Linked DNA regions of Struthio camelus. The protein of the gene in region 2 interacts with the protein of the main gene of each other region in a pairwise test. Links are inferred from orthologs where the notes say so. Each region holds a gene or a part of one and is shown on either strand. Other genes may lie near its edges.

Evidence for each region. The genes of interacting proteins can lie anywhere in the genome.
Region 1: the proteins of TNIK (region 2) and ACTG1 interact in a two-hybrid assay, tested with the Homo sapiens proteins (2 studies listed by BioGRID and IntAct). The link is inferred for Struthio camelus from reciprocal best matches to the Homo sapiens genes TNIK and ACTG1.
Region 3: the proteins of TNIK (region 2) and CLU interact in a two-hybrid assay, tested with the Homo sapiens proteins (2 studies listed by BioGRID and IntAct). The link is inferred for Struthio camelus from reciprocal best matches to the Homo sapiens genes TNIK and CLU.

The regions. Positions count from the first base shown.
Region 1 is NC_090960.1:1,594,372-1,601,355, reverse strand, and holds the start of ACTG1 (actin, cytoplasmic 2), read left to right. Parts: upstream 1-3,977; 5' UTR 3,978-4,132; intron 4,133-4,804; 5' UTR 4,805-4,814; coding exon 4,815-4,937; intron 4,938-5,021; coding exon 5,022-5,261; intron 5,262-5,543; coding exon 5,544-5,982; intron 5,983-6,142; coding exon 6,143-6,324; intron 6,325-6,433; coding exon 6,434-6,577; 3' UTR 6,578-6,984. Other genes in the region: keratinocyte proline-rich protein-like, read right to left, coding at 82-1,713. UniProt on the Homo sapiens protein: Actins are highly conserved proteins that are involved in various types of cell motility and are ubiquitously expressed in all eukaryotic cells.
Region 2 is NC_090950.1:27,544,260-27,551,564, reverse strand, and holds the start of TNIK (TRAF2 and NCK-interacting protein kinase), read right to left. Parts: upstream 3,014-7,305; 5' UTR 2,829-3,013; coding exon 2,772-2,828; intron 1-2,771. UniProt on the Homo sapiens protein: Serine/threonine kinase that acts as an essential activator of the Wnt signaling pathway. Recruited to promoters of Wnt target genes and required to activate their expression. May act by phosphorylating TCF4/TCF7L2.
Region 3 is NC_090944.1:8,553,256-8,560,103, reverse strand, and holds the start of CLU (clusterin), read left to right. Parts: upstream 1-3,841; 5' UTR 3,842-3,865; intron 3,866-5,310; exon of another isoform or gene 5,311-5,641; intron 5,642-6,848.

The DNA of each region.
Region 1 (6,984 bases), on a different chromosome or scaffold from region 2:
GGGTCGGAATTGGGGTCAGGGTCAGTGGTGGGATTGGGGATGGGGTCACGGTTGGGGTCGGGATCGGGGTCAGGGTCGGGGTCAGGGTGGGATTGGGGATGGGGTCACGGTTAGGCTTGGGGTCAGGAACGGGGTGAGGGATGGCGATGGAGCTGGGGCTGGGATCAGGACCGGGGTCGGGGCAGGATTGGGGATGGAGTTGAAGTTGGGGTCAGGAACGGGGTCAGGATCAGGGTCAGCGGTGGGATTGGGGATGGGGTCAGGAATGGGGCTGCAATCGGGGTTTGGGTCGGGGTCGGGACGGCCGATGGCGGTGCCCGGCCTCACCGCGGCCCCCCTGCTCCCCGAGACGCCGCACACCTGGCCCCAGGGTCCCCGCTGCCCCCGTCGCCACGCCAACACCGAGCCGTCGCCATGGCAACCGAGGGGTGTGATGCTGCCCGTCGCCGCGGCGACGCCGAGCCGGTCCTGCCGCGGCCGGGGGCTGCCGTGACTCAGCGCCCTGCCCAGCCGCTCCTTCCTCCTCCTGCTGCTGCTGCTGCTGCTGCTGCCGCCCGCGGGCGCGGGGCCGGCCGGGGCGAAGGTCTGGCGGTGACGGCGGCCTGGGCTGGGCCGTGGGCGGTTTCGGGGCTGAGGCGCCCGATTTCGCCTAACGTAGCCGCTCCGGCCCCGCTCCGCCGCGCACGTCCCTGCGGTGCTCCGCTCCTCCCGGTGCCGGCAAACAAACGTTTCCCACTCAAAAGCGGCGGCGGTGGCAGCGGCGGGGCGGTCAGCCCCGCTCCCGGCTCTGCGCGGCGCCGCGCGAGCCTGCGGACGAGGCGAAGCGCCGCTGCCACCGGCCTGCAGCCCCGGCCGCCACGAGGCAGGCGGCAGCGCTGCTCTCCCGGCGTCGCCCGACCTGCGCAGAGGGCCTGCAGGAGCGTGCGGCGCTCCGGCACGGCACCTGGTGCTCCGGCACAGCACGTGGTGCTCCGGCGCGGCACGTGGTGCTCCGGCACGGCACTTGGTGCTCCGGCACGGCACGCGGTGCTCGGCACGGCACTTGGTGCTCCGGCACGGCACGCGGTGCTCCGGCACGGCACCTGGTGCTCCGGCACGGCACGCGGTGCTCGGCACGGCACGCGGTGCTCGGCACGGCACGCGGTGCTCCGGCACGGCACCTGGTGCTCCGGCACGGCACTTGGTGCTCAGCACGGCACCTGGTGCTCCGGCGCGGCACGCGGTGCTCCGGCACGGCACGCGGTGCTCTGGTAAGGCACGTGGTGCTCCGGCACGGCACGCGGTGCTCTGGTAAGGCACGTGGTGCTCCGGCACGGCACGTGGTGCTCCAGCACGGCATGTGGTGCTCCGGCACGGCACGCGGTGCTCCGGCACGGCACATGGTGCTCCGGCACGGCATGTGGTGCTCAGGCGCGGCACATGGTGCTCCAGCGTGGCATGTGGTGCTCGGCACGGCACGCGGTGCTCAGGCACGGCACATGGTGCTCCAGCGTGGCATGTGGTGCTCTGGCACGGCACATGGTGCTCGGCACGGCACGCGGTGCTCAGGCACGGCACGTGGTGCTCCGGCACGGCACGCGGTGCTCTGGCACGGGACGTGGTGCTCCGGCACGGCACGTGGTGCTCCAACACGGCATGCGGGGCTCCCCCACGGCACATGGTGCTCCGGCACAGCACGCGGTGCTCCAGCATGGAGCGCGGTGCTCCAGACATGGCACACGGTGCTCCGGCACAGCACACAGTGCTCCAGACACAGCACACAGTGCTCCGGACACGGCACGCGATGCTCCGGACACAGCATGTGGTGCTCCAGACACGGCACACCATGCTCCTGCATGGCACACGTTGCTCTGGACATGGCACACGGTGCTCCTGCACGGCATGTGGTGCTCCGGACACGGCATGCGATGCTCCGGACACAGCATGTGGTGCTCCAGACACGGCACACCATGCTCCAGACATGGCACACGGTGCTCCTGCACGGCACGCAGTGCTCCGGCACAACACACAGTGCTCCTGCATGGCACACTTTGCTCCAGACATGACACACGGTGCTCCAGATATGGCACACGGTGCTCCGGCATGGCACATGGTGCTCTGGACACAGCACGTGGTGCTCCGGACACAGCCTGCGGTGCTCCAGCACAGCACACTGTACTCCTGCACAGCACACGGCGCTCCGGACATGGCACGCACAGCGCCGGACATGGCACACAATGCTTCAGCATGGCACATGGTGCTCCGGCACAGCACAGGGTGCTCCAGCACAGCACACGGCGCTCCGGCACGGCACGCACAGCTCCGGGGATGGCGTGCGGCGCTCCAGCCACCTGGCTCTGCAGGCACAGATCACGGTGCTCCGGGCCCAGGTGCTTCGGGGCGTCCCGTGCTGGCCGTGCCCGACGCCGGGCGCCGAGCGGAGCCTGCGCCACGCGGGGGGCTCTCGCAGGACGCACCGCGCCACGCACGCCGGGTGCCACCTGCCCACCCGTGGGGCGCTCGGAGCTGATGGCAAAGCGGTGCCGGCCCCGGGGCGCTGTCTGTGGGGTGCACGGCACTGTCCGTGGGGTGCTCGGCATTGTCCATGGGGTGCTCGGCGCTGTCCGTGGGGTGCTCGGCATTGTCCGTGGGGTGCTCGGCATTGTCCATAGGGTGCAGGATGCTGTCTGTGTGCAGCGCTGCCAGAGGGTGCATGGGGCTGCCGACGGGGCGGTGCTGCCTGGAGGGTGCACGGCACCATCTGAGGGTGCACAGCGCTCTCTGTGGGGTGCTCGGTGCTATTTGTGGGGTGCAGGGTGCTGCCTGAGGGGTGCACAGTGCTTCCTGAGGGGTGCGCAGTGCCGCTGCACAAGGGGTGGTGCAGCGTGAAGGGGGCACGGCGCTGTCTGCGGGGTGCACGGTGCTGCCCGCGGGGCGGTGCTGCGAGCAGGGTGCCCGGCGCTGTCCGAGGGGCGCGCAGCCCCGTCTCTGGGCGCCCGGCGTTCCCTGAGGTGCGCGCGTCAGGGTGCCTGGCACGGCCTGTGGGGTGCCTGGTGCTGTGCGAGGGGGGCACAGGCCTTCCGAGGGGGATACAGTGCTGCCGACGGGGCGGTGCTCGTGCGGGGCGCATGGTGCTGCACAAGGGCGCTGTCGGGGGGGTGCACAGCTGCCCCGGGGGGTGCACAGTGCCATCTTTGGGGTGCACGGTGCTGTCTAGGGGGTACACGGTGCTGCCCCAGGGGGTGCATGGTGCTTTCTGAGGGGGTGCCAGCTGCCCCAGCGGCACGGTGCACAGTGCTGTCTAGGGGGTGCACGGTGCTGTTGAGGGGGTGCACAGCTGCCCCAAGGGGTGCACGGTGCTATCTTTGGGTGCACGGTGCTGTCGGGAGGTGCACTGATGCCACAGGGGGTGCATGGTGCTGTCGAGGGGGGCGCACGGTGCTATCTGGGGGTGGACAGCTGTTGCAGGGGGTGCTGTCAGGGGGTGCACGGTGCTGTCGGGGGTGCACAGTGCTGTCGGGGAGGGGGTTCACGGCACTGTCGGGGGGTGAACAGCTGCCCCACGGGGTGCACGGTGCTGTCGGGGGGGGGGTGCACGGTGCTGTCAGAGGGTGCACAGCTGCCCCGGGGGGTGCACGGTGCAATCTTTGGGGTGCACAGGGCTGTCAGGGGGTGCACAGCTGCCCCGGGGGGTGCACGGCGCTGTCGGGGGGGTGCACGGCGCTGTCGGGGGGTGCCGGCTGCCCGCGGGCGTGCCCGGGGCGCCCCTGGCTGGCGGGGCCGGGCCGGGCGCGGGGCGGCGCCGGCGGCGGGAGGGTGCCCGGCGCTGGCGGCCGGCGCGGGGCGCTGCCGGGGCCGGGGTCGCCGCCCCCCCCCCCCCCCGGCCTCTGCGCCCCATGCAGGTTCCGGGGTGCTGCGGGGCGGGGGCAGGCCGGCAGCCGCCCCACGTGGCCGGGGCCGCGCCAGCCAATGGGAGCGCGTGTTTCTGAAAGATCTCCATATATGGCGATCTTCTCGGCCGGCGGGGCGGGGTCATCGCCCCCTGGGTATAAAAGCGTGGGGCTGGGAGCTGGACGGTCTCACTCAGCCGGCGGCAGCAGACCAGGCGGTATCGTCTCCCTTCCCCGCACCGCGAGAAGCCTCCTCCGCACAGGTACCGGCCGGCCCGGCCCGGCCCGAGCCCCCCGCCGCCCTCGGGGCCGGTGGCCGTTAGCCGTTAGGGCGTGGCTCGCGCCCCTCTTGGGCCGCGCCACTGAGGTCCCCGGGGGGGAGGGGGCGGGGGGGGTTTGCAACGTGCCGCTCCCGGCTGGCTCGTGGGGTGGGTTGTGCCCGCCCTGGTGTTCTCCCACCCCTCCCCCCACCGGAGTGGTCTCGCCCGTTTGAATGGGAGCCGGGCCGTTGGGAAGGGAGGGGGGAGGGGGAAGAACGCGCGAGCCGGAGGAGGGTGGGGCGCGATTGGCCGCGGAGGCGGGTGACGTCAGGGCGCGGGAGATTCAAACCGCGGGGCGGGCGCGGGGCTGCCGCGCTGGGGCGGCGCGGCCCGGCCCGGCCCGGCCCGGCGGGGGCCCCCCGGGGAGCCGCCCCGCCGCAGGGCGGCGGCCGCCTGGCGCCGTGCCGTGCGGGAGCCGGCCCTCCCCTCCTGGCCGCGCTGCGGGACCCCCCTGCCCGCCCCCCCCCGAGCTTCGGGCTGGCCCGCTGCCAGCGCGGCCTCCCGGGGCCGCGGCCCCCAGCCGGTGCAGGGTGCGGGCGTGACGTGGCGCTGGGCACGGCAGGGCTGGGTTGCTGAGCGAGGGCTCTGTCTCTTCCTCCCCCCCCCCGACATCAGATCCTTCAAAATGGAAGAAGAAATTGCAGCGCTCGTCATCGACAATGGCTCCGGCATGTGCAAAGCTGGCTTTGCAGGGGACGATGCTCCCCGTGCTGTGTTCCCCTCCATTGTTGGGCGCCCCCGACACCAGGTAAGCTGGGAGGGCCCTGCCCGGAGTGGGTGTGCCTGGGGCGGTGCTGCAGTGCGCGGAGCTGACTCATGCGTCCCTTCCTAGGGCGTCATGGTGGGCATGGGGCAGAAGGACAGCTACGTAGGTGATGAGGCCCAGAGCAAGAGAGGAATCCTCACCCTGAAGTACCCCATTGAGCACGGTATTGTCACTAACTGGGACGACATGGAGAAAATTTGGCATCACACCTTCTACAATGAGCTCCGTGTGGCTCCCGAGGAGCACCCTGTCCTGCTCACAGAGGCTCCTCTGAACCCCAAGGCCAACAGAGAGAAGATGACACAGGTACGCTTCCTTGGGCAGCAGCCGCCGCTTACCTCCATCTTCACAAACCCTCTTTTGTTATGGCATCTTAAACCTGAGTTTTTTTTCTCCCAATGTTTTCAGGGTTCTCTACTCCTGGCATTTCCTCCTTGACGTCTCAGGTTTCTTTCATTTGTGTTTTCTGCCTGCGTTCTTTGCTTTTCTTTCACACATCAGTTTTTGCATGTCAACATGCATGTTCTAACACAGGTGTGAGTGACCCAGCTTGTTGTTCCATGCTGAACTGTTTCTTCTTTCTTCCAGATCATGTTTGAGACCTTCAACACCCCAGCCATGTACGTTGCCATCCAGGCTGTGCTGTCCCTGTATGCCTCTGGCCGTACCACTGGTATCGTTATGGACTCTGGGGATGGTGTCACCCATACTGTGCCCATCTACGAGGGGTATGCTCTGCCCCATGCCATCCTGCGCCTGGACTTGGCTGGCCGTGACCTGACAGACTACCTCATGAAGATCCTGACAGAAAGAGGCTACAGCTTCACTACAACAGCTGAAAGGGAGATTGTCCGTGACATAAAGGAAAAGCTGTGCTATGTCGCCCTGGACTTCGAGCAGGAGATGGCCACTGCTGCCTCTTCCTCCTCCCTGGAGAAGAGCTATGAGCTGCCTGATGGTCAGGTGATCACCATTGGCAATGAGCGGTTCAGGTGTCCGGAAGCCCTCTTCCAGCCATCCTTCCTGGGTAGGTATGGGCCAGAGCCGCCCTGAGAGACCGGTGGCACCTGGAGTGCCCCTCTGGTGTGGGAGTTTGCTCTGGCTGCATGCTGAGCTGGGGGGTTGGCATGGCTGAAATGAGGTGCTGCGTGTGTGTGCTAACAAGCCTGCAACTCTTTTCTCCCTAGGCATGGAGTCTTGTGGCATTCATGAGACCACTTTCAACTCAATCATGAAGTGTGATGTAGACATCAGGAAGGACCTGTATGCCAACACAGTATTGTCTGGTGGTACCACAATGTACCCTGGAATTGCTGACAGAATGCAGAAGGAAATCACAGCTCTGGCACCTAGCACAATGAAGATCAAGGTAAGAAATGCTCCTTTGTCCTGCTGCGGACGATGCTGCAGGCCCCTGTGTTTTGTGGGAGGAGGCCGGAAAGCCCTGGGCAGTTCTGACTGCTCCTCTTCTCTTGCAGATCATTGCCCCACCTGAGCGTAAATACTCTGTCTGGATTGGTGGCTCCATCCTGGCGTCTCTATCAACTTTCCAGCAGATGTGGATCAGCAAGCAGGAATATGATGAGTCTGGCCCATCCATTGTCCACCGTAAATGCTTCTAAATGGACTGCTAGCAGATGCACAGCATCTGCTGCATGAGTTGTTTTCACTAGTATACGTTTGCCCAGGCAAATCTATACACCTCATGCTAGCCTCATAAAACTGGAATAAGCCTTCTTTCAAAAGAAACTTGCCCTTGGAAAGTCTGTATCTGATGTTAGACAAATGTCAGCACTGGATTGTCAAGCTGTCACTTGATTTGACCTTGTATTCAAGTTAACTGTTCCCTTGGTGTACACCTTAGCAGAATACCCTGTACAGATCTGATCTAAGCCTTGGGGCAGGTGCCTCGCGTGTGTGATGTCCTTGCTAAGGTTGACTTGTGTTTGTGGGGAGCCTATTCTGACAGTGGTTCTCACGGCTTGCTATACTGACAGTGACGCCTCTCCAAGAGCGCAGGCTCTGGGGC
Region 2 (7,305 bases):
AAAGCACAGGACCGGACAAACTGATAGTCAAAGGTCCACCTTATTTATATGCATTTGCTTGTTGTTCATCAAAGCCAGCCTCCTGGAACATTTTGGTGACTCAGACTTGGAGATAAGTGGCCTAAGCGCTTCTCTTCCCCAGTATTAAGAACAAATCATCCCTTCAGCCAGATTTTGAGTCACTACCTGCTTACAACATTTCATAGAGCCATCCTTCACCCTTTCAAACAGGCAGCCAGAACAACGTCTCCTCCATCCAGACTCATCTACAAAGCAGCAGCAACGTGACACTTCTATTTCCTAATAAATGAAATTTTGCAAGGCTTGTGGAATTACTCCTCACTGCCATGTTTTTGTGCTCAGGCAGCAAATTTACTATTGATTTCTGATTCAGACCCTGTGGAATGATTCATGCTTCTTACCCTATCTGCTGAATTTATGACCTTTAACAATTATTCTAAGTGCTAAACGAGCTTAGTTTAGAAGAAGATCTATTCCTTGGCAAATTAAGACCCTATTCTGGTCTCACTTATAAACCAACACATCTCTCGTAATTTAAAGGAAAAGTGTCATAACAGGTCTCTTGCCTTTAGGTTACACAGCACAGGGCTCCCTTGAGCCCTGAGCATGACTGCTGCTGGCCTGAGGCAGAAGGCAAGGTGGGACACCCCAAATCCCAAGAGCTCTGTGCCCCACAGTGTGAGCAGCAGCTGCCTTACTGCAGCCCTGTAGCCTCGCACGGCTACTCCATGTCGGCATGAGCAGCTCATCTCGGCTTGGCAGCACTAGGGAGCGGCTCAGGGTTGATGTTCACACCAGAACATCCTCAACCAGTTGAGCTGATCTTGAGCTCCTGGCTAACGCGACACAAGCTGCTTCCTGACAAGGAAGCGCTGCGGTGTCTTCCATCGCTCTAGCGGGCTCCCATATCCTCCTCCGAACACCTCAGTGGTGGGCAATAACATCGTCCGCTTCTCCAAATTCTCATCTTATAACGGGACTTGAAAAACCTATTTCCTGCTGAAGCGGCCTTGCCGGAAAGCCACGTCAACTACCACTGCAGAGGCAAGGGGACACGGCAAAAGGACCATCCTTAGCATCTCACCATGTCGTCGGGTGCAGGTCCCACACCTCGAGCTGTCCTGGAGCAGCAGGACGTCTCTGCTCAGAGTTCACTCTCAGTGGTTGGGGAGGGGAGAGCAGAAAGGGAATATACGTTTCCTTTCAAAAAGGAAACAAAACCTAAACTGTATCTTGTACGCATTGCCATCAAAAAGCCACAAACACACAAAAACTAAGCATATACTGATAGATCTTTAAAAATAACTGGTTCCCTGGTTCAAATGAAATTAAAAAAAAAAAAAAGTTATTTTCAGGGACCGGGGTCAAGCAGAGGGCCCCCTTGCCCTCACGAACAATACTGCTTTCCTGGATTAACTCCACTGACTTTGGTATCCTTTCTCCCAAGACACTTTCTACCTACAAGGGGAAACGAGCTCTAGGTCTGTTTTCAAGCTGGATGGTCCCCCTGCTCCAATCCTGTCTACACCTTGAATCGCTGAGCAATCGTTTACACTATTAATCAACCAGAAACTCACTAGGAAGAAAGTAGGGCAAGTGAATAAAGATAGACATCTTTTTTTTCACTGAAGCAAATAATATTTCTAAAAATACACTTATGTAAGTCTTCAGCGGGTTCTGCTTAATTTTATTTATCTATCTATTCCAGCAGGCTGAGATAAGCAGTCTTGCTGCAACCTCCACATGAAACACCGCTTCTCTGAACAACTCCCCACGCTCGACACCAACTACCTGTTCTCAAGACAAAAAGGATGAAGAGAAAAGAGGGGAAAAAGGGGGGGGGGGGGGAAGTTACCGTAACAAGGGCAGTGGCGGAGGGGGGGACACAGTGCCAGCCCACACGGAGGCTGACACGTTTGCCAAGCCCGACATTTCAAGGGTAGAGCGACAGGAAAGCTTTGTTTCAGAGGGGGAAGGTGAAGAGCAGGCAGAGCTAATGGAGAGGGATGGAGAGAGAAGAAACGGGCTGCGGGTCCGCGTCGGCGCGGAGCGGCACCGGAGCAGCCCGCACCAGCGCCGCGCACACGCGTGTGTGGGTGTGTGTGCACACGCGTGCACGCTACGTGATTTATTAACCGAGCGTGGCGAGGAGGGGCTCGGCCGTCCCGGGGGCTCCCCGCGCGCCCAGCCCCACCGCCGCCACCCCACCGGCCAGCGCGCAGGGACAAAGCCCAGCACCGAGGCCACGTTTCGGCGGCGACACGCGTGAAACACGGCCGCGCGGGCTGGGCGTGGGGTTTTTCCCCAGGCATGTGATTTTTTTTTTATTTTCATTTTTCTACACCTGCCAGAGCCCCCACGGGGACGGGGAGCGCCGCGGTGTCCTTCGCGCAGGGGCCGGGCGCAGAGGCGGCGCGGGGGGACCGGCCTTGCACACGCACACACGGCTGCACACGCTCACGCACAGCCACACACACACCCCCCCCCCGTTTACATAAACGTGCACACACCTATACACAGACACACGTCAATATACCTACACGCACATACACACACGCTTGTACACACACAGACATATATAAACATGAGCACACAGATGGGGATAAACGCACACACACGCGCGCAGCGGGGCAGAGGCGGCAGCCGCACAGCCCAGCGCAGCCCCCGCGCCCGGCTCAGCCTCACCTGCCCGAGGAGAGCCCCCTTCCCCACGCACGTACACCCCCCACGCCCCACGCGCGGCCCCTCACCCGCAGCGCCGAGAGGTCGATCTCGTCCAGGCTCCGCGCCGGCGAGTCGCTCGCCATGTTTCCTCCGCCGGCGGCGGCAGCGGCGGCAGCAGCGGCGGCCCCGGCGCCGCCACCGAGCTGGCAGTCTCCGGCCGCGGCGGCGCTCGGCGCTATTTAACGCCTCTCCTCATGCGGGGGGCCGCGGGAGAAGCCGCCCCTGCCGCTGCTCCCCCCCCCCTTCCTCTTCCTCCTCCTCCGCCGCGGCAGCGGGCAGCGCGGCGGCTAGGGGCGGCCGCGGGCTGGCGGCGGGCAGGGCACGCCGCGGGCTGCGCCGGGATGGCGGCGGCGGCGGCGGCGCATCGCCGCCTCCCCGGCCGGAGCGCGCTGCCGGAGCTGTCTGTCAGCGCGGCGGGGGGCGGCCGCGCCGCTGCCTGCCGGGGCGGGGGCGGCGGCGGCGGTGGCGGCGGGGGCGGCGGCGGCGCCGCCGGCTCCCGCTAGGGGGCGGCCACGGGCGGGGGCCGAGGCGGGCAGGAGCCGAGGCGGGCAGGAGCTGAGGCGGGCAGGAGCCGGGGCGAGCGGGAGCCGGGGCGAGCGGGAGCCGGGGCGAGCGGGAGCCGAGGCGGGCAGGGGCGGGAAGGGGCCGGGGCGGGCAGGGGCCGGGGCGAGCAGGAGCCGGGGCGGGAAGGAGCCGAGGCGAGCAGGGGCCGGGGCGGGAAGGAGCCGAGGCGAGCAGGGGCCGGGGCGGGAAGGAGCCGAGGCGAGCAGGGGCCGGGGCGGGAAGGAGCCGAGGCGGGCAGGGGCCGGGGCGGGAAGGGGCCGAGGCGGGCAGGGGCCGAGGCGGGCAGGAGCCGAGGCGGGCAGGGGCCGAGGCGGGCAGAGGCCGGGGCGGGCAGGAGCTGAGGTGGGCAGGGGCCGAGGCGGGCAGGGGCCGAGGCGGGCAGGAGCCGAGGCGGGCAGGGGCCGGGGCGGGCAGGGGCCGGGGCGGGCAGGGGCCGGGGCGGGCAGGAGCTGAGGTGGGCAGGGGCCGAGGCGGGCAGGGGCCGGGGCGGGCAGGGGCCGGGGCGGGAAGGGGCCGAGGCGGGCAGGGGCCGAGGCGGGCAGGGGCCGGGGCGGGAAGGGGCCGGGGCGGGCAGGGGCCGGGGCGGGCTGGGGCCGGGGCGGGCAGGAGCTGAGGCTGCCCGCGCCCCCCAACCCCAGCGCCCTCCCTCCGCCCCGAGGCCAGAGGCTTCGCCCCACTGAGGTGACCGGCCCCTCGGTTTTCCACCTTCCACCCGGCCTGGTTTCACCCCAAGCCCCGCCGTTGGGACAGGCGAGGGCTTTGGCCCGGAAAGCTCGGCAGCGCGCGCCGCGGTTTCTCCGCGCCCTGCTGCCCACCGGCCTGCTGGGGTGCTCTCCTGACCTCCCCCCGCCCGACGCAAGGCACGAAGGACGCGGCTGGGGGAATAATGTCTGCGAACGACCCTGCTGGCTGCCGACGCCGAAGTCCAGTCGGGGACACGTGGCTTTGCAGAGTCCCACGCTCGTGCTTATTGAGCGCGTAGGCTCTCGCAACGCCGTTGGAGCCACCTGGCCGGAAAAAAATCCGGGGTTAAGCGTCAGCCAGTGCCGCAGCAGCTATGCCGTGGCTTTGCAAAGCTTGGCGGCACAAGTTGCCAAAATCGAGGTGCTGAACCCAACCCATGCAGCGCTTGGGTGCTGGGAAGCCTAAGGGCCTCATCACCTTCCACCCAAAAGCGGTGGCTGCTCTTCTTCGTGCACGTCAGGACGGTCAGGCCAAGAAACCGGCCTGCTCCTACTGGATCCAGATGTTAGATCCGATTTCGGGTCCTCTTTCCCTCAGCGCTTAGGAGTATCGCGAGCTGTCCTTGACCTATCTAATTCCCTTTTTGAGCAAGAATGAGAGATTTACGCTGTCTCTGGGACTGCAGTTGGCCAAAAGCCTCCCAAACCCAGCAATTAGCTAGGTAGAGTCAGCTTTGACTGTTTTCCTTATTCCCCTTATTCGGAAGTCGTTTCTGCCAAACCAGGTGCCATATATAAATATATATATATAAAATCTGTTGCCTTTGAGCAAACCGTATGGAAGATGTACTTACAACATCAGCTCTCGCCGGCTTGTGTCAGGCTCTTACAATATGCAGATCTGGGAAGCGGAAACCCTACACATGAGACAATTGGCAGACGGATGGGGTTTTCTGACGCTCGCTGGTCGGAGATGCACTTAGTACATTTGGGGAAAAAAAACAACCAAAAACCCAAATCACGTCACGAACGAACGGTGCCGTTGCAGGGAGGCTCGGCGCTGCGGCTAGTGCACAACGGGGCTCATTGCCTGCGATATGGCGACGGTTTTTTGAGCCCTGCGAAACCCGGCCGAGGAAGTGCGGCCCTGCACAACTGCATCGATGTCTCGTTAGCGTTAGTGCGGATCACGGCTTTCTGACACAAGCCGAGGAAGGGAGCAACGGCGTCGTCCTGCGATGCTGGGAACGAGAGCGTTCCTGTTTGCAAAACTCCCAGGGCAAAGCAGAAGGCAATTTTTTTTCTTTTAGTGAACTGCTGGAGCGTCAGGAAACTGCAGTTACCCTGAAATGCGTGAAGTGCGCAGCACTGCACAGCACGTGCAGTCCTGGGATGGCAGCGTGGCTGGGTTTATTCCCTTTCTCCTGCTCCATGAATCCTTTATACCTTCACAGTGATTAGGCCTCGGCTGCATTTAAAAAGCCAAGTTTGATCAAAATGTTAAACTCAGTAAAATAATTATACATTTGGAAAACGGGGAACAGCCTTATTGCTTCTGAGCATCCTCCTGAATCTGTAGCGCTGATGGAATTTTTTTTAAACCAGATGTTGTCTGTGTCGGTTCAAACCTAGATATTGCAATGTTTGCTCATACTTGGGAAGCTGAAAGCAAAACTGCCTGGAAACTAGTAACCAAAGAAATTGCAAGATTTCCTACTGCTTTCATTGTTCCCAGGGAAAGAAATGGAAAGAACAAATGGAATGAGAGAGGACATTGGTTTTCTCCAATATGCTTTCCGTTCAAGAATGCAAGGTTTTATTTGTGAAGCATGAAAGGATTAAAAAAAGAAAAAAAACCAACAAAATAAATATGTGCCCCAGTCCTGCATATAGACAGATTGCCTCAATCCTCGGTGTAAATGCAAAGTTTATACCCAAGCTAAACCATGGTGTCATGACAGTCCGTCCTCTGTGTGACAAGACAGCGAAAACGTAGAGAACCGTTCTGTGTCAATAACATAAGAAATGCAGTAAACGGTAGTGGAGGGCGGATGCAGACCCCGGCGACTTCGAGGCAGCGCGGCATGAGGACTGCCGGGGCGAGCGCAGCGCATGGGCAGCTGCTCGGGGCAGCACGACCTCGGCAGGGAGACGCCGGCCCGGCCTTCCCGCTGGCCATGGGGAGACGTCCGGCCACGTACGACTGGAGCTGGTCAGTCACTTTCTGCAGGAAACTTTTTCTATAGAAAATGAAGTTTCTGATACGTTAACCTTTTTTGCAAGGAGGCGTATGTTTGTGTCTCTCTGTATACCATTTCTCTGCCAGGAGCATCTAAACAAAAGTCTTGCAGTTTGAGTTGCTATGACTCGAAAGAGAGCGCTCCGTGGAGTTGGCCTGAAATGTTTTGCTGAGAGTCGGTTCAACATTAACTCGTGTTTGCAGCTAGCGGGGCCCTCCTGGGGATCGTTGTGGGGCCCCGTCCTGCCACATGCCGGGACCCTTTCGACCTGACGCGCCGCAGCAGGGCCTCGCTCAGCTCTGTGCAGCGCATAGGCGGCGACTCCAGGTCACGTCGCTCGCCAAGCAGAGACCTGTGGTAGGGGGGTACAGCTGGCGCTGAGCTTGACTCCTGATATCCCCAGTTAGCTCCGCACGCTCTATTTCTACCTCCCTAGAGGTGGAGGTGGGCACGGTTTTGTGTGAAGACATCGTTTTGGCCATGTTCACCAAACTCACTTTTTTTTTTTCTTTTTACTTTCCCATCCTCTGACAGATGGCACGATTTTGCCTTTTCATCCCAATTTGGAATGGAGGCAAATGCTAAAATGTCAGCTTTTCCTACAGGATGGCTTTGGTCCCAAGTTTTGGTCAGCCGCAGTGAACAACAGGCGCACCGTAACAAACCAAATCTCAGCTGTTGGCAGGGAGGGTTGATGACGTCAGGGTCAGTATTTTTGATTCATTCATTAAAGGACATCAGCTCACCAATAAACCGTCCAGTTCATTTGACCTCTGCATATAACCAAATTTAGTAATCTAACCGTGCCATTGGTGTTAATTACATCATGAAGGGGTATATGTTGAAATTAGTAAATCTAAACGACACACAAGGCCTTGCCTGGTTGGCAAGAGCTTCAGTTGCTTTGGGCTTTGGATTATTCTCTGAAAGACTGGAGAGGGAAGGAATGAAGCAAATAAAGCATGCTTGGGCCCTATTGCATGATTTATTCCACCAGCATAGGTGGATCACTTGTTTCCAAATAATTCTATGACCACTTGGACCCGTGACTGGTGTCAGCTTAGTATTTCCGA
Region 3 (6,848 bases), on a different chromosome or scaffold from region 2:
GGCTTGGGGGAGGCCGTTGACGTAGCTTACCTGGAGCTGAGACCACGGGCCGTCCGCCCGCTGCGGCTTCAGGGGTAGCGCTTTGCCCGCGGCCGTAGCGCACCGCAAGCAGTTCTGCACCCACTCTGCTACTTGCTCCTCGTCGCCTTCCCACCGCGCCACCCGCCTCGCCCTGGCCAGGCTCCCCTCTACCCCCTCGTGCAACCAGCCGTGACACTGCGCGACTATCTCCTGTTTCTCGTGCCTCGACGGCTCCCAGTCCTGCGGGCTCCTCGCTGTCCCCGTTTTGACTCGCCCGGGCATTTCCCTGGCCCTTTTGCCCACTCTCAGGTTCCACTCGTGCTCCTCCGGGTCCTCGCTCCCGTGTCCGGCGACGTGCCTGACGTGCAGCACCCCCGGGTTGGAGCGAATCCAGCGCCAGATGCTCGGCCACGAGGCCCCGTTGGCGCACGTCTCGCCGCCGGTGGTCTCCAGCAGGCCCTCGGCACCCTCCTCCTGCAGCTTCTTCACCAAGGACTTGGAGTCGGAGTACAAATAGAGGGGCAAAGCGCTCCCGTGGCCGCGCAGGACCTGCTCCACGGCAGCCAGCTCCGCGGTCTGCGCCGAGCCGCTCTCCCGCATCCCGAGGAGCCACCGTTCTTCCAGGCTGGCGGCTGCAAAGACGAAATAGTCCACGTCGTGGTGGAGCACGCTGCCGACGGTGAACCACACGTTGCCCGCGGGGACGTGCGAGGGCAAGAGCCGCAGCGGGGGCGCGGTGGGCACCACCGAGCCCGCAGGGTGCCCGCAGGGAAGGGGGTTCCCGTTGGGGACCGTCTCCCCTGGGACCCCCCTGTTCACCAGCAACAGAGCCCACTGGGCCGGGTGGGCGCTTGACGTGTGAGCTCCCGTCGCCATCCCCCAAAGGAGGTATTTCAAAGGCGAATGTGGCATTTGGATAACGACAGGAGCCGGCCCCGTGAGAGCCCTGAAGGCCTGCACGGCTTGTACTGCCACCAAGCACTCCTTCTCGCGTGGTGAATAGGAGACCTCGTGGTCCTTCAGCAGCTGGGAATGGTATGCCACTGGGACCAGCTGGCTCTGCTCGTCCTCCTGCAGCAGGGCAGCCCCCGTGGCGTGCTCGCTCGTCGTCAGCCTGATGACAAAGGGCTGGGACCGGTCGGGGAAGCGCAGCGCGGGCGCCCTAAGGATCGCGTCCTTCAGGCGGCTCAGGGCCTCCTCGTGCTCAGGTCCCCACTCCCATCTCTCCGGCTTCCTCATTAAGCGGTAGAGCGGCTGGGCAATCTCCGAGTAGCCCTCAACGTGCTCTTGCATGGACCTGAACCATCCCAGCAAGCCCTGGAGCTCGCGCACATCCCGCGGGTGGCGCTTCTTGTCCACGGCCTTCAGCTTGCTCTCCTGTATCTCCCTCCCCTTTGGCCCTATCGTGATCCCCAGGTAATTGACCTTGGGCTGCACTAGTTGGGCCTTTTCTAACTTGGCTTTAAAGCCAGTTTTCTGGATCAGCTCCAGGACTCTCCTCGTCCGGGCTCTGGTCTCCTCTTGGGTTTTCCCAGCGATGATGATATCATCGACGTATGAAAGCACCTCCTCTTTGTCTTCGTCGGGCAGCTGGGCTAACATCTGAGCCACCCGCTGGTGCACGATGGTGGTGGTGTTGTGGAGGCCCTGGGGCAGCCTGGTGAAGAGGTACTGCCGGCCTCTGAACGTGAAGGCAAAGCGGGCTCTGCAGGCTGGTGCCAGCGGGATGGCAAAGGAGCAATTCGACAAGTCGAGCACGGAGAAGTACTTGCTCTTGGGACTCAGGGCCGTGACGATCTTCGTCCTGTCCAGGACCACCGGGGCTATCCTGGCGGTGGCCCTGTTGACAGCTCGATAATCCACCGTTAGACGCCACTCTTTCTTGTTGGCCTTCTTCACGGGCCATAAAGGGCTGTTGGACGGAGATGTCCCTTCTACCACCACTCCTTGAGCCAGCAGGTCTTCAAGGATGTTAGCCACTGCGTTTTCCGCCTCCTCCAAATACGCATATTGCTTTTGGAATGGCACTGGTCCCCCTGTGATATTTTCCTCCCCAGAGACCAAACCACAGTCCATCTTGTACCTTGTCCACACATCTGGGAATTCCTCCCTCCATGGCTCTTGACTTGGAGCCAGCAGCATTAGGGTCCTGCAGACCTGCAGCGAGGGTCTAGGAAGGACTGGTGGACCTGCCTGCTCCAACAGGTTGTCTTCAGAGACTTCCCAAATCTTCCTGTTAGCCAGGTCCAGCTGCCACCGGTGAGCCGTTAGGAAGTCGCTTCCCAAAACGCACAGCTCCGGCATGGCGGGGAGGTGCTGCACATCCCCGTAGTACACCGTCCCGCCGATGGAGAAGGGGACATCATAGCACATGGCACCTCCCAGCCCTGCAGTGCGGTCCTGCACCCCGTCTCCTCCCAGCTGAGGGCACAGCTGCACCGCACTGACGTCCGCGTTGACGTCCACCAGGGCGTCCACCTCCTCGGAGCCCGCTATCCTGACTGGCACAAACACCCTGCCCTCGTTGTCCACGCGGAGAGTGTTCACGTGCCTCCAGCGGACACCCGGCCGGGCTGGCGCGGGGGGCTGCAAGCCGCCCTCGCTGACCCCTGCCATGGGGTACACCGCCGTGTCGGTCTGCAGGATCCGCTTGACCAGCTGGGTGGCCAGGTCTCTCGTGGACCTCTTGCTCCACGTGGCCATGTCCTCCCCCAGCTGCTGCAGCTTCTCCCACACTTGCTCCTTCCTGCACGCTTCCGCCGGCTCCAACTCCTGCCCGTTTGCCCCATTCCCATGGCAGTTGGTGGCCACGTCCTCCGGGTCCGGGTGCTGCGCTGCTGCTGAGCCGCTTGCACCCGGCGTCACCGTCTCCTGCAGCGCCGCCGCCTCCGCGCCCTGCGCCGCCCGGCTCGCCTGCTCTTCTGGCCACCTGGCACGCTTCTGCTGGGCGTCCCGCAGCTGCGCTTGCAGCCCCGCGCGCTCCTTGCTTGCGTCCGCCAGCTCCGCGCGCAGCTCTATGCACTCGCTCTGGGCATCCTGCAGCTGCGCTTGCAGCCCCGCGCGCTCCTTGCTTGCGTCCGCCAGCTCCGCGCGCAGCTCTATGCACTCGCTCTGGGCATCCTGCAGCTGCGCTTGCAACCCCGCGCGCTCCTTGCTTGTGTCCGCCAGCTCCGCGCGCAGCCCCGCGCACTTGCTCCGGGCATCCTGCAGCTGCGCTTGCAACCCCGCGCGCTCCTTGCTTGCGTCCGCCAGCTCCGCGCGCAGCTCTATGCACTCGCTCTGGGCATCCTGCAGCTGCGCTTGCAGCCCCGCGCGCTCCTTGCTTGCGTCCGCCAGCTCCGCGCGCAGCTCTATGCACTCGCTCTGGGCATCCTGCAGCTGCGCTTGCAGCCCCGCGCGCTCCTTGCTTGCGTCCGCCAGCTCCGCGCGCAGCTCTGTGCACTCGCTCTGGGCATCCTGCAGCTGCGCTTGCAACCCCGCGCGCTCCTTGCTTGCGTCCGCCAGCTCTGCAGGCAGGCAGCCCGACTCGGCGAAGGCCGCCTCCGGCTCCTCGAGCGTCGCCGGCGGCCCCGGGAGGCCACTTACCCCCCAGGCGCTGAGTTTGCTCTCCTGCACCAGGGCGCACTCGGCCGGGGAGCGGGGCGCTGGCAGGGGATGCCGCGGGCGCTTGTTCTTCTTACACCAGAAACACGCCATGATGGCCCCAAAAAAAGGAGAGAGATGAGGAAACGGAGCAAGGAAACGGAAGTGGCAGCGAGGGCGGCGCGCAGGCGTCGTGCTACCGCATCGGCTCAGCACAGAGGTGCCCACGGTGCCGCCGCAAAAGCGGCCGGGACCCAACCGGGTGGGCAAAAGTGTGCGAGAAAGATGGAGGGGGGGGTCACGGCGGTGGCCGGTCCCACAGCCGCGTCCCGTCAGCCCATGCACAGCAGCTCCGCCGCGGCGCCGGCTGCCACCGGGGCCCTTGTCCGCCGTCGCGGCATGCCGGGATGCTGGTGGGACGCTGCCGGGGCTGCGGGAGGGGAGCGGGAGTGTGAAAGTTGTGTGTGGGGGGGGGGGTGAGCGTGGGAGCGGGGGCCTGAGGCTGTGGGGAACACACACCGCCGTGCACACGCGTGTCCCGCACACGGCCCCCGGGGGAACACACACCGCCGTGCACACGCGTGTCCTGCACACGGCCCCCGGGGGAACACACACCGCCGTGCACACGCGTGTCCTGCACACGGCCCCCGGGGGAACACACACCGCCGTGCACACGCGTGTCCTGCACACGGCCCCCGGGGGAACACACACCGCCGTGCACACGCGTGTCCTGCACACGGCCCCCGGGGGAACACACACTGCCGTGCACACGCGTGTCCTGCACACGGCCCCCGGGGGAACACACACCGCCGTGCACACGCGTGTCCTGCACACGGCCCTGGGGGAACACACACCGCCGTGCACACGCGTGTCCCGCACACGGCCCCCGGGGGAACACACACCGCCGTGCACACGCGTGTCCTGCACACGGCCCCGGGCGAACACGCACCCCCACGCACACGCGTGCCCCGGCAGCCGCCCCCGCTCTCCGGGCCGCGTTTCGGCCGCGCTCGGCTCTCAGGCCGCCCTCGCCCCTGCGGCGCCTCCTCTCCCCGCCTCCCTCCTGCCGCTGCTCCTCCTCCGCCCGCCGCCTTTGCCGGAGGGGGCAGCTCCGGGCAGGCAAATAACCAGGCAACTCCCCCCCCCGCCCCCCCCAAACCAACCCCGTGCTGAGGCCTTGCAAAGTTAGCGCATGCAATATTGGCCAGCTTACCAGCCGCATGGACGCAGCTGGGCCAAGGGGCTGGAGCGGGGGGGGGGGGGGGGACATGTTCTCGGGGCACCCTCGGATGCCAGGACGACCCCCCCCCCCGCCTTTGGCCGCCGGATGCCCGTCTGTGCCTCAGTTTCCCCCGCTGCTGCGGGTGCTGCCGCCGAGGGGGCCGGGGGACAGGACGGGGACACCCGATGGGCCGCCACCGCCGCTCTCCGAACCGAGCGACGCCGGGGACGGAAACGAGCAGCCGTGAAGTTGGCCGCCAAAACCAAACCCTACGCTTCCGAGAAAAGACAGGCTGGAGGCAAAAATAATAATTGTAATAATAACAAAAATCCCCGCCGCCTGCTGAATCACGCTGCTAAAGCCGAAATCCCCAGCGGGGGTTGGGGGGGGGGGGTGGGAAACGACACCTCGGACCGCCTGCCAAATAAACGCTCGCGGTTTTTTCCACGCCGTGCGCGCTGGGGAGCGCTGAGCCCCCTCTCGGCGAAGGAGGGAGGGAAAGCAGGCAGGATGGGGCCCTTGCAGCGCTCGGATTTTGGGTGCATGGAAGGGGGGGGTGGTAATGCCCCCCCACACACCGTTCCCCCAAGGGCGATGCCCTGGGGACGAAGCGGATGTGCCCATCCCCGTGGCGCCAGGGCGCCCCCCCCCCCCCCCGCAGGCCGGGCCAGGCCCTCCGGTTCCAGAAAGCTCCGGGGCCGGGAGCGGAGCCGGGAGCGGGGCGGACCCGGAGCGCCGCGGCCGCGATAAATAGGGGCAGGCGGGGGCGGGCGGCTGCGGCGTAGCTCGCCAGGACAGCCGGAGTGCCAACCGCAGGTACCGCTCCCTTCCCTTCCCTTCCCTTCCCTTCCCTTCCCTTCCCTTCCCTTCCCTTCCCTTCCCTTCCCTTCCCTTCCCTTCCCTTCCCTTCCCTTCCCTTCCCTTCCCTTCCCTTCCCTTCCCTTCCCTTCCCTTCCCTTCCCTTCCCTTCCCTTCCCTTCCCTTCCCCATTCCCTTCCCCATTCCCTTCCCTTCCCCATTCCCTTCCCTTCCCTTCCCTTCCCTTCCCTTCCCTTCCCCATTCCCTTCCCCCTTCCCTTCCCCTTCCCTTCCCCATTCCCTTCCCTTCCCCTTCCCTTCCCTTCCCTTCCCCATTCCCTTCCCTTCCCCATTTTCCCTTCCCCATTCCCTTCCCTTCCCCATTCCCTTCCCTTCCCCATTCCCTTCCCTTCCCTTCCCCATTCCATTCCCTTCCCTTCCCTTCCCTTCCCTTCCCCATTCCCTTCCCCCTTCCCTTCCCCATTCCCTTCCCTTCCCTTCCCCATTCCCTTCCCTTCCCTTCCCTTCCCTTCCCTTCCCTTCCCTTCCCTTCCCCATTCCCTTCCCTTCCCCATTCCCTTCCCTTCCCTTCCCCATTCCCTTCCCTTCCCCATTCCCTTCCCCCTTCCCTTCCCCCTTCCCTTCCCCATTCCCTTCCCCATTCCCTTCCCCATTCCCTTCCCTTCCCCATTCCCTTCCCCATTCCCTTCCCCATTCCCTTCCCCATTCCCTTCCCCATTCCCTTCCCCATTCCCTTCCCCATTCCCTTCCCCATTCCCTTCCCCATTCCCTTCCCTTCCCCATTCCCTTCCCCATTCCCTTCCCCATTCCCTTCCCCATTCCCTTCCCCATTCCCTTCCCCATTCCCTTCCCCATTCCCTTCCCTTCCCCATTCCCTTCCCCATTCCCTTCCCCATTCCCTTCCCCATTCCCTTCCCTTCCCCATTCCCTTCCCCATTCCCTTCCCTTCCCTTCCCCATTCCCTTCCCCATTCCCTTCCCTTCCCCATTCCCTTCCCTTCCCCATTCCCTTCCCTTCCCTTCCCTTCCCTTCCCTTCCCTTCCCTTCCCTTCCCTTCCCTTCCCTTCCCCATTCCCTTCCCCATTCCCTTCCCTTCCCTATTCCACCCCACCCTGCAATAAGCTGATCGGGTCTCAGCAGGTGCTGCCAGTGGAACCCCCCTCGGGGTGTCCCCCGCGGGCAGTTTTGGGGAGGGGGAGGAGGA